Linked DNA regions of Oryzias latipes. The protein of the gene in region 1 binds, or shares a complex with, the protein of each later gene. Links are inferred from orthologs where the notes say so. Each region holds a gene or a part of one and is shown on either strand. Other genes may lie near its edges.

What was found. Proteins that work in one complex are often made in the same cells at the same time.
Region 2: the proteins of map2k1 (region 1) and ksr1 are in contact, whole or in part, in a crystal structure (PDB 9AXH), measured with the Homo sapiens proteins. The link is inferred for Oryzias latipes from reciprocal best matches to the Homo sapiens genes MAP2K1 and KSR1. Residues at the interface, in NP_002746.1 of Homo sapiens: Asp217, Ala220, Asn221, Ser222, Phe223, Val224, Gly225, Thr226, Arg227, Ser228, Met230, Arg234, Leu235, Gln236, Gly237, Met308, Ala309, Ile310, Phe311, Leu314, Asp315, Val318, Asn319; in XP_011523731.1 of Homo sapiens: Asn767, Gln768, Leu769, Lys770, Leu771, Ser772, His773, Leu776, Val784, Arg785, Met787, Thr788, Pro789, Asn823, Gln824, Ala825, Ala826, Glu827, Ala828, Ser829, Ile830, Trp831, Gln832, Gly834, Ser835.

Annotation. Positions count from the first base shown.
Region 1 is NC_019864.2:16,494,862-16,498,917, forward strand, and holds the start of map2k1 (dual specificity mitogen-activated protein kinase kinase 1), read right to left. Parts: upstream 2,801-4,056; coding exon 2,718-2,800; intron 1-2,717. UniProt on the Homo sapiens protein: Dual specificity protein kinase which acts as an essential component of the MAP kinase signal transduction pathway.
Region 2 is NC_019872.2:17,290,758-17,299,348, reverse strand, and holds part of ksr1 (kinase suppressor of Ras 1), read left to right. Parts: intron 1-2,455; coding exon 2,456-2,596; intron 2,597-6,656; coding exon 6,657-6,804; intron 6,805-7,043; coding exon 7,044-7,518; intron 7,519-8,591.

The DNA of each region.
Region 1 (4,056 bases):
CTTGAGAAGAGGTTTTGCAATGTAACATGTTCTTGGGTTTCAAAAAATCTATTAAATTAATAGAGCTTTCCTTTAACAGAGCAAAATCCATTCATCCCCTTTTGCTTATTTCTTTTTTTTCCCTTCAGTCTTCAAACCTTTTCTGTTACTTTTTACCATAAGAATGTCTAGTTTGATTAATGACATTTTAATATTCACCTACTTTAAATGAAATGTTTTGTGGAAATAGTTTTTCATAACCAAACACAGCTGGGTTTGAAATGGGAATTGGAATTAAAATAATTGAAATAAATCAAATTACATTGTATTAAAAACGAATTCCGATCATTTCGGTACTATAGCAGTTTTGCGCAGCCCTGAAGTATGATTTCTACATATCATAGGAGCATTGACTGATCTCCTGCTGTAGAGGTCTCCTTCAGCTTCATCACAGCTATGAATTTTACGTCCATGTCGAACCACAACTCACTGATAACTACTCAAAGCTGGGCATTGAGCTCTCCTCTAATGCTCCGTCATGCAGCAAAGACAGGGTTTAAGTGCTTTTATTTTTGTCAGTAGGGCTGCATATCCATGGAAACGAGCTACATGTAGATGTGGGCGGCGTGGGTGTTTTGTCAACAAGAGCTGGAGGTGGAGGAGATGAGAAAAGAACTAGCATGAAACACACTCAACACAATATATGTGGGTGCAACAACCACAGGGGCAGCACCACTTGAGGTGCAGGGGGTGTGCGCACGTAGCCGGCCTTTCTTGTATCCATTCGCGTCATATTCAAGGACATCTAATGGGAGATAAAGGTACGAAAGAAACCCGTTCTGCAGCTCTGCACCGAGCCTTGCAGACAAATGTCAGCAAAAACAGTGGATTTGAAAACAGTTTATGACAAAAATGATGAATATTAAGAAACTTAAATGAAGGAACTCAGATCTGTTAAAAAAAAAAAGAGTAGGCTTCTATGCAGCAAGAGGAGAGTTTCAGATTAGTTAATGAAATATTGTTTTGTCTTGTTATATCTTTGATTCCCTTTCTACCCACAGGGTTAAGGAGATACATTTGTACGCACAGGTGTGTTCAAAACAACATAGGGAGGCAGGAGAATGAGGCTTACACAGTAAAACGTACTTTTGTCAAATTATGCTGACAATAGAAAACTACCCAATGCTTAGAAATGCTAGACATATACATATAACTAACCTTTATGGTTACTTGACTCATTCTTTTCATCACACAAAATGTTTTTTTGCAAAATAGTGGATTTCCTGTTTTGACATACGTCAGTCAATGTTGTTAAAAGTTCATGTCGGAACCTAAAAAATACATTTTGGATCACATGTCAAGCAGCTGGATGGCTCAGTTAGCTGAGTGTAGGACTGGCGCATGGGAAACCAGGCTTCATCCAGTGTTGGTCCTTGAGCAAGACCCAAGGGGGGCCCCCCCCAAGTCTGGGTCTTCCCTGTGCCGGTCCCCAGTCAGCAAAAATACAGGACATCCGACGTAAAAATCACTGCCAAAAACACATGTCCCTTCAGTAAATCGGTAAAAGCTGATTCACTGAGGCGACCTCTGAAGGGATATGCCGAAAGGTGAACAACAACATTTTGGATCACATGTTACTAAGGGCCAGGATTGGAGGAGCTAATGTGAAGAAGAGCTTTCTACAGTTAATATTGATCTGGAGAATACATACCAAACTAGATGACTGCCATCAAGCACTCACATTATAGTCTGTTATGGAGCCATACAGTGTTGAGTTTCACATGGAGCTAGGAAAGTAAAATCTGTGTAATTTAATGGACCTTTTTTTTTCTATATGAATATAGAAAGTGCTTTTTAGACTGTTTCAGATAACTGTCAGAATGTACCCCAAAAAACCTGCTTAAAAAACAACAAGAACAAAGCAACACCTGTTTGCAGGTTAGCATCCTCACATTACATTAAACAGCAGTATTACCACATACTCTCAGCAGTTTAAAAAAAAATATCCCCAATCCTTGATTTAGATTTCCTTCATGTGCTCATTTGCAAAGGCTACAGATCACTTTCAGAGGCTGCATCTAATAAAGAAACCAGAAAGCATCCTGCCTGCACAAACAGGCTTCATAGTGAAGACCATGTTATGTAATGGGATCCAGCTTATTGGTGGAATGACAAAGAATTGTTTCCACAGATTTACACTAAACAAGGTGTCACAACAGGTTTATTTCTCCATTATCATGTTGGTTTTTTTCTCTTTACCTCCAACCCACACAAGCATATCACTAAACAGTGCCTCCCCTCAGAAATCAGCTGAAGAGAGCTGGAGAGCCACTTTATTTCACAGTGATGATTAGATCAGTCACAGTGAGGAGAGCTGTATTAACACTAATCTGTGACAGAGATTTGATTTCTCTGATTCTCTAAGCAGATCCCCTAAATTTAAAAAAAAAACACTGCAATTTTTGTTTATTTGAAACATTTTTACAAATATTTGACGCTATTGTATCTTTGGATTCACTGCTCGTCTTCTTAGTACTGTTCTAATAGAGGTTCTTGTGTTAGTAGTACTTTTTGAACCTATCTTTCTAATCAGTTTTAACTGTGAAATAAATAAATAATCCCACAGTCGGTGCAGACAGTGTCTCAGATTATTGTCACACCAAAAGCTCTAAATTCCTGTGGTAAACATAATTATGTAACATTTCGTATGTGACAAACAGCTGATCGCCAACACTCACTCGGAGGCTCCGGTTCCGTTCAGTGTGTTTCCGTCGGGAATCGGGTTCAGCTGGATCGGTTCTGGCTTCCTTCTCTTCTGCATGTTTTTTCTCAGGAATCGGCCTTTTTGTGGAATGAAAGCCGTGAGGACGGAGGGACAAGGCGGCCAGACGAACCAGTGGAACGAAAACGGAGCAGTGCTGTCACGACCTGCAGACCCAGCGCAGCTGATGCTTCGCTTAACGGGTGGACGTGAGCTGAACGTCACAAAAATGTTTACACCTTGGTCTTCCGGGCACCATGTCAGGCCCTGATTGCAGTGCGCCCTCTGCCGGTGACTGCTGGCATCGCAGTCCTGTGCAGCAGAGGGAAGTTCGTGTATTGTACAGGGGCGGACTTGTTGCACATGTGTGTGTGGGGGGCATTTACAAACATGGTCTAAAATAATTTCCTCAATAGTTTAAATCTGTCATAAAAAGCCCAAATTACTGAAATGGCATAAGACTGCTCGTGTGAAAGTGTTTTGTCCTCCCCTGTCCCTGTGTGGCAATGGACCATTCCGTCAACATCAAGTTAGATAGCAGAGAAAGACTGAACAGCTTTTTTTTAAGAGGCAAGATGAAGCGATTGTTAAAATGATCATTATCATTTTACTGTTAATGCAAGTAAAAAAACACACCTCACACAAAATGTTAACAATTTAAGTTAAACAACAACAAAACTTTTGCAAGAAGAACGACAATACAAGTACAACAGAATAAAATAGTATTTCTTTGTCATTTTTTTCATTGACACCACTCTGTAGGCAGGGAGTTGTTTTGTGCCATCACTCCAGGATTTTTGTGTCTTTTGCCATCTTTTGTCAGCTAATTAAAAAAACAATTATAAGACCCTCATTTGTTCCTTCTTGAAAGTAAGTGGGTAACAACGTAGCTCATTCAATAAATTCAGTGTTGTTGTTTTTAAAAAAAATGTATGTAAAACACATTTCTTTAATATTTTAATGTTTTTCAGTTATTATTCTTTTATCAAAACATTTGGATTCGTGATGCTGTCTAGAAGTGGACCATTGAAAAAGTTATTCGACTGATGATTCACTCAAGGTAAGGATTTGGAGTTTCAACTTCCTGCACATTTTTTAAATATCCGTTAGATAAATCCTGGCAAGCAGTTGGACTCTACTCTAAATAAAACACCTGCAAGTCATTTTCAAGAGAGAACAAACCTTTGCTCTTGTAGATGCCTTCTTTAAGGTACAGCTGCCAGAGGAAATAACAGAAATGTTAGTGAAAATCCATCCATCCATTTTTTTGATTCCATTGAATCCCTGTTGGGGTCAGGGGCTGGCAGAGCCTAACC
Region 2 (8,591 bases), on another chromosome or scaffold:
CTGCCACCAAGCAGCCTTTTCACTCCCCAAGGCCGCATTCGCAGTGAGCAGCGCGGCTCCTGGAGTTTCTGTGTGGCTGGTGAGCGATTTGTGTCACAGAGATGCATGAATGAGCGTAGAAAGACACACACACCGCCTATTGTTCGCTCAGGGCTTGAAAGGTGCAACACCAGCCAGCTAAAGGCTCATCTCAGGGTGCTGCCGGTGTAACGGACTCTTGGAGATAGACTGCGTGATAAGGACACACTATACAGTCATACTGAGCTGCACTTTGAGGGCTGCGGTTTACCAACACCATGGTGTTCATTGTAGAACTTATTCACAGGACAGATCAACACATTTAAATTGAAAGCACGGGAGAACCATAGCTAGAGATGACGGGCCTCAGAGAGGAACATTCCTACATGATGCAGATTTGAGGTTATCTTATATTTTGAAACAGCCGCGATTGATGTCATTTTAAACGTCAGCACAAATTTCAGCAAGGCTTCAGTAATTATTGTGCCCATTTCGAATTGTAAACACAACAAGGCTGGAATGCAAAAACAGGCGTTTGAGCTTGCACTGCATTTCCTAGTAACTGTTTTAAGTTTTGTCTTCATTAAATGACATAGTTCTAAATATTTCTACATCTGCATTCATTTGTCCAATCAACTATATGTACATGAATTGTTTAAGCTACAATTACTGGGTATTTATTTGATTTGTTCCAGACCCTAAACGGCACCTAAAAATATTTATTTTTGTGACCTAATAAGCTGTTTTTTCATGATTCATAATAGGCCTGCTTAATAAATCGCAAATGTATCGTCATTGCAATATCAGTGCTCCGCAAAAGACAGCATACACTTTGATAAATGGTTACCTTAAATATTTACTGCACACATACTAAAATAATCCCATGGCAGTTTGAATTATTTAACGTATCAAATACTGTCCTTTAAGCATTTCACCAATCGGATGGGCCACTTCACCTTGTTGACCAATCAAATGAAACTCTTTTGTTAGATTCCCATCTCCTATGTAAATGTGGATCATTTGGAGTATCATTTATGTCATGCTGACATTTATTTAAATAAAACTGTTGCAGTGAAATGGAAATGTTGTGTAAGTTGTTTTGTGTTTTGTCATTTGTTCATGTATTGCAAGTTATATCGCCATTGCAATATTGTTCACTAATATCACACGTCGTAAGTTTTCCTCATTGTGCAGGAAAGAGTTCATAAGGGACCGTGGAGGACCTTGAACAGGGGGCCACATTTTTGAGTCTTTGTTAAAAATAATAGTTGAGTTTGGCAGCACATTAGCCCAAGTTTGTCACTTCTGGCTGAGCATTCATCCTCTTAGGACAATTTTCTGGAAGCCTAAAACATTTTTAAAAAAACGCTTTCTGAAACACTTAAAGTACCCAAAACCCAAATATTCACCAATTATCCCAAAAAAAGTTTCCCTTCTATTCCAATGCTCAAAACCCAAAGAGGAATTAACCAAGAGCCCCCTGGAAGACCTTTATCAGGCGGCCCCTTGGGAAGCAATTCATAATTATTTAAAAATGAACATTATTAGTAATTATCACAAATATTCCATATTCAACTTTAAAGAATTAGTCATAGAAAAGAAATAGTTTAATATTTAAACCTAGCAATTGCAGGAATACCCTAAAATACTTTATGAACCAGTAAAAGCTATTTATAAACCCACTTTGAGCTATTGTAAAATCATTCCCAGTGGTTTTTTCATGACGTCGTTTTCTAGGACATGGTTTCTGCAGAGTGGCTGGAGTTTCTTAGAAATTTGTCTCTGAGTTGTGGGTGGTACCATTAGCTGGGAGCAACCCCCCCCCCCCCTTCCCCTCCCCAGTCTAGAACAGGGAGTTGTAGCCCACTTAGTTGTATTTTCTATGTAACAAATACAATCTTTTTCAAGCAGTATTTTCTTGTCTGCTCCTGATTCACAACAATTTGAATAAAGAAATACTCAGAAATGCTATTTTGAGCACATTTCCTTAATACATGTCCTCCATAATCAGAAAAATTCCACAAGAACACATTAAAAACACTGAGACACGATTAGGTTTCCCTGTCGATGTGCGCAAAACCGTTGCATGTTGTCCCATAGTTATTCATTGATAAAATTACAGTGCTGGTCATGTGGCGCTTTGGTCATTTCTGAGAACTTTCATGCTCAGCTGTTTTTGTTTCAGTTAAATTTGTTCTGCCATCAGTTTATTTGCTATTGCTGTCTGGTCTGAGGTAGATGTAGGGAAACTTTGGTTGTGCCAGAGTACAGAGTAATTAAGAATGAATGGACTTCAGTCTTTATGTCTCATATTTTATAAGTTTGTTCACTGGATATGTTTTTTGTGTCTCTGCTGAGGCACACCGCCTCTTTCAGCTGTAGTTCCCCAGTCTCTTTTCTAGCCCATCTGTCTAATGTTCTCTGTTGCTCCCTGCAGGTGAAGCTGATGAAATACATCTGTAAACAGCTGCAGTGCAAGCACAAAGTGCCAGAGACAGACAGGCCAGAGGCCCTGGAGAGCTACCCTCACTTGCGAGACTGGCTGCGCACCATCAACCTGCGGACAGAACTCATCAAGGTAGGCCGACTTTGTCTGATTGCCAGACTATTCTAGGGAAGGACTGTAGTGTTTGTATTACAAATGGCGTGTTCTCAGAAAATGCAACCAGTGTTACCCGTTCAGTAGGAGTAGGAAGAATTTTATTTTTATTCCTGATAAGTGGCAGAAAACCTGAACTTGAGCCAAAGAGTTTTTGTCCTTTTTTAGCATGCACTGAAGTGCTCAGAGAGCCCATGGAGACTGAAAGAGCTAGACAAAACATTTGTTAATGTTTTGCAATATATAAAAGACTTTTCTTTTTTCCAAGTCCCCAAAATTAAGCTTCCAGTTCTAATTCCTACCATGTTTGCAAGTCTAGAAAGGGCTTTTCCACAGGAGTGTGAGGAATGTCCCAAAAGCAAATGTTTGCTGAAGACTTCACAGGTCCACATGAAAGCTTTCTGGGATTGTTCTGGTCTTCAGTTGAGCGGAGAGGATCCCACACCAATTTGTGAGGGTATTTAAATGATTTTAAACGTAGGATTATTACATCCTTCAGACGACAATGGGTTAAACTGCAGACCGTGCCCTGTGTAAACATAAACTTTCCAGATGACTGAGGGAATATAATTCCTGTTAGAAACTTGTTTGGTTACCTGGATTTTCATTGCCATGTCTGCTGTAGTTTTATATTTTTAGGTGGAGCAACAGTAGAGACTCACACACGACGGAAAACCTTGTATAAAGTTTTTTACTTTTTGTATCCCATCTATTTAAGGCATTTGTGTGTTATTCTTTTCCAAATTTCTCTTTCACTTTCTTTCTATTTTCTCTTATTTTGGTGTGCAGAGAAGCTCCTATTCTTCTTGTCTCATTCCTTTGCTCTATACCTGTTATTAGCAATTATTACCCCTAAACACGACTACGTCAGGAGTTTTCTTTGAGTCAGAAATTTAATGTATTTTGAAAAAATAAGTACTGGCTCTGTGGATGTGGAGCTTTTGTTGCATCCTGATGACCAACTTTGGTCATCATCTCAGATTATTACACTGAAATTTCCACACTGTAACTATTTGTTCTCCACTGCGGGGTCGGTGTTATGTTATGTACATTTCAGAGCCATTAACAGGTATGAGGAGCCTGTACTGACAGCAGCTGTCCAGAGATTGGTACACATTTTCATTTAGCTTTATGCTGGAACTGTGCACAGATAACTATAAAAGGGGTTTCTAAACGAGCTAATCTATAGGGTTAACAGGTGTGCAGTGTTGGATGACTGTTGCATTTCCGCCCAGCAACAGTGCATGACGGAGTAAGACCTCAAGAAAGCGATCATTTGTAAGTGTTCTGTCGGTTGCATCGGAGATGTTGCAAATGATGAGGTGGGAGGAGTCACAGCAGTTTTAAGTACAACATCTCCCGCTCTTGCTTAGCCTCTCTGTGCGATAAAGTCTTGCTTGTAGTTTACACACGTGTGGGAGGTTGCCCTAGTTTTGCAATCAGTGTTTCTCTACTTAGAGTAAAGGTTTAACTGAGCCATTAAATCGGCACATGCAGTAAAGAAAACCTCTTATCTCAGGTAGTGGTTATTAATCATAAATACTCCATGAAACTATGTCAGGTTTATAGGAAAGGTTGTGTTTTTCTCATGTTGGCAGGAAAGATATTTATTGGCCATTGTTTCATATCAATCTGTTTACGTTTATCACGGCTATTCCACCATGATTGTACATTACTCACATGGTTTGAGATCTGATCACTCTGGAAACAACCCATCCACCATGACATTATAACTGCATTCTAAACAGTTGACTGTATACGAGAACTGGACTGAGTCAGTGTGACATCTCCCATTACTTTCAGCTCCAACGATATGAAGTCAATTCAGTCCCCATTTAGTCTCGATATGGATGCCACCATGTTGGAACCAGACAACAGCAGTAGGCATCAGTTGGTATGAGTCAGTCTCAGTCAACATTTCTATGGCAACCAATCAGGAGTGAGCTTGTTGGAAGTCCACACCCCACACAAAATGGGCTTGGGAGAATCTGTCAATCACACGTTTTGAAGATGCAACGTAAGACCTCATACTTTCATTGACGCGCCCGATTGGCCAGTTCAGAACTTTAGTAAGTTGCACCACAGAAAAACTTTGTATTAGCAAGAACATGTTAAAAAAGATAGCAGAGCAAGAATGGCTATTCTGACTAATAGAATGACTGAGTATTAGCTATTTATGAGAAGTAAATGGAATTTTCCTTCTTGGAGCCAATTTGGTACTTCCTATTTGGAACGTGACGTTGAAGGACTCCGTCCAGTTCTCACATACAGTCAATGTTCTAGAAAGTAGTTTTAAAAAAATTATAACCTTTTAATACTTGCACTGTTATCAGAAAGGGGTAGACCTGCTAATTACGGTAGCAAGAACCACAAGGGGTTTACTTTTCACTTCAAAATTAGGAGCCAAAAATGTACCAAGAAGTCATACCCCATATAATAACACCATCGCCAGGAGAGTGATGCTTCAATCAAAGTAAACTTAATCCTTTGTGTTATGGTTATGAATGAACAAAAACTCATTATACAAGATATTTTTTTTCCCTCGTCGATTGAGAAATGTGTTGAGTCTGGCAGCACTTTTAGCCTAAGTTTGTCACTATTGGCTGATTTTTCATAATCCTTGGACAATTATCTTGAAGTTGAACAGATTTTTTTTTTTTTCCAGTTACTGAAATACTACTCGTACCTAAAACCACAGCATCCTCAAGCTATGCGTAACAGTTCCCCTTAATGACTTTTCTCTTCCATTCTGACACTTGGGACCTAAAGAGGAATTGAGCATGTCTTCAAGCCCAAATCCTTTGAACTGTTCACCTTGTGATTGACTGTTTCCATCTGTTGGTAGCTGTAGCAATGAGGTAGTGGTTTAGCTTTGATAGCAAGATGGTAGGTTTAGTTACCACTCTGATTGTAATGAAGTGTCTTAAAGCAGGGCACCGAAGGGCTATAACTGTACATGTCAATTACCAAAACATTAATAGGCGTATTTAAACAGAAGTCTATAAGTTTAAATATTTCTGGCTTTGAGCACTTTGTAAAACGTTTTCAAATCAATTGTAAGCCCAGAAGCATGTTTTCTGTTAGTAGTTTTTCATCACCTGCAAAATATGTATACTGGAAGCCAGAAACATACATCCTAATAAGGAAATCCTCCATTCATCAACATAATTCACTTTATTTCATGTTCAAATGCGGTCCATAAAAGAAGACAGATACAACATACATAGTAAAAATAAATAAATATACCAATAAAAATAGAAAAACAAAACAAAACTACAGTTTACAACCATTTAAAAAGGAGTATAACCTCTGTGCCCAGTGTGGCGGAGTTGAGCGGAATGAGCCTCTTTTAGGATCAGTCAAAAACATAATTGCATTTTTAGACTTGTCCAGGCGCTCCATGAGACTGTATGTAAGCGTACGTAGTAGTGCTTCACAGGTGGGGATGTGAGCATCCAGAAACCACTGACTGGCTCTGTACCAGGGGTTTAGCCTGTAGCAGAAGCTTAAAGGCATCGTTACAGGTCACTATGAATCTACGGATTGTCCCACCTCCATAATTCCACCACAGAGGAGCAGTATACAGAAGAGGGCAGTAAGCTCTGAATAACGAACACTTCACTTGAAGAGAACACATACTGGATTTTCTCATCAGCATATTTGCCTGAGCGTAGAGTTTGCAGTATGGTCTCTGAATGTCTCTGTCATCCCGCCAATCATCAGAAATGAAATTTCCAAGATATTTGATAAATGAGGTTTGTTCCAGAGGCTTTCCACAAAGCTTAAAAACAGGAAAGTTTACTTTTTGTCGCCTTTGTTAAATATGTTTCTTGGATTTATGTATGTTAGAGCTTGAAAAGCTGGTTGTTGTTATACTGAGCATATTTAAGGCAATATCTTTCTTTGTAAGCAACCTTTTTTCTCCTTGTTTTTTAAAAGTTGAACATAAATGAATCAATGGGTTTGTTTTATGTCATGTGTTTGTTCTTTCTTTACAAGGTCACTGAGCATCTACTTCTCTCTTGTGACTTGTTTGCAGGCAGTTGAAGCAAAGTTGTCTCTAGACGCTCTGCTTCAGATGACAGACGTTCAGATGAGAGATACGATGAGAAGACTCGGGTCCAGTTCAGAAGAATGTACGAGACTCAGGTCTGCCCTTTCATGTCTGAAGAGTGCTACGGAGTCAGGTATGGAGTACTACTGTGGGGTCATCTTGATTTTAAATGTACTGGTGTAATATAAATAAAGTTTAGCCTCAAATACAAAAGGATTTAGACAAATAAACACCTTGTGTGTCTGAAGATCCATAACCCCCTACTGTAACAGTAACTGTCCAACACATCTGTTTGCGTCACTGCTGGACAGGACAAGTTTAAAAATTGTAGTTGTGAACTCTGTCTTGATTGACTTGACTGTCATTTCACAGGAGGAGAATTGAGGGAGGATGCCACATACTGGTTATCTGAGCCCACCAGGAGGGACAGTGGCTCCCTGCTGACTGCAGACCAGCTCTCCAACCTGGGAAATCGTCCTCACAGTCCATCACCTCTTGCCCGCCCATCTACTATCCAGTCAACCCCATCCACCCCAAGTGCTACGTTTCCCCACCCCCGCTCAGGCTCAGTCCCCACACCAGAGGCGCTGGCATCATACATCCACAGTGAAAGCCCACTCACTGATCCATTCCCGCCACCTTATCCCCGTGCTGCCTGGCTCCACGGACACACCTCCACGCCCCCCGTGACTCCACCCTCAAAAAGGCGCCACCGGCTAAAGCCTCCATGCACCCCTCCACCTCCATCGCGCAAACTGCTGAATCTGCTCCCCAACATCACTTTGACGCGCAGCAAAAGCCACGAGTCCCAGTTGGGCAACCGCATCGAGGACCCTCCCACCAACAAGTAGGTCTCTGAATGAAGCCGTTAAGTAAAGCAAACGAGACACAAATAGATTAGATTGTGATTTGAAGGAAGATTGTTGGGTCAACACAAACTCTAAACACTAAGGCCACATGTAGGATCTAGATCAGGAGCCTTACGAATGTTGGCAGTGCTAACTGATAAGGGATTTGCCATTAGTCTCCGTCAGACAGCCTTTTCGCACCATCTCCGTACCCCTTTCCAAATACACTGTTCTGTGTGGCTGGGTGTGTTTGTCTGCAATCTTTTCACTGCAGTAGGAGTGGAAGATGGACGGCTTTTCATTGTAATCCGCTGGAAGTTTCTGCGCCACCGTAGTCCTTGTCCGGATTTACAGATGACGGCGTTTCATAAAACGAAAGCACAAAGACAGACCTCCATGAAAATGTTCAATTTTCATTTCCTCTGCAAGCGTTCACTGCCTCCAGTTGAATGGTGACTGTAGAGACGCCTCTCCCAGCTGTTCTGTGATCATTAATCCATCACTCGAGTCGGTCTTCTAAATCGGGCCACATCGCCTTGTTTCCGCGGAAATTCAGCTGCGTCTTCTTGACTGTCGGAGTTCGTTTTCCAGCTTCCTCCACTTGCGAACCACAGATTCATTAATCTTGATTTCTCTGGCAGCTGCTCGATTCCCAATTTCCTCCGCGTAGCTGATGGCTTGCAGTTTAAACTGCACTTCATAAGCGTGTCTCTTTGCAGGTGGAATTTTCAAGGTTGCCAAAACGATGTTGTTCTGGATCATGCACATACCTGCACTTTTGTACTATTCGTAGGTGTGTTTTCTTTCACGTCCACACTTCCCTCCTTTACCATTCTCATGCTGTCCTCTCCTACGTCCTCTTTACTGAAGTCAAGCAACACCGCACCATAGGGCACTCCATACATTTTGGAGAAAGTTTAGAACTTTTAGTGCTTCTTATGGTCATGAAAATACGGTAGACTTTTCTTTGGAAGTGGTCGCTAAATCACGCGTTGCAGAGGGCGGCGTATAGATAGCTTTAGATGATTGTTGGTGGAACCACAGAAGGCAGACGCATTGTAGCTCACTTTGA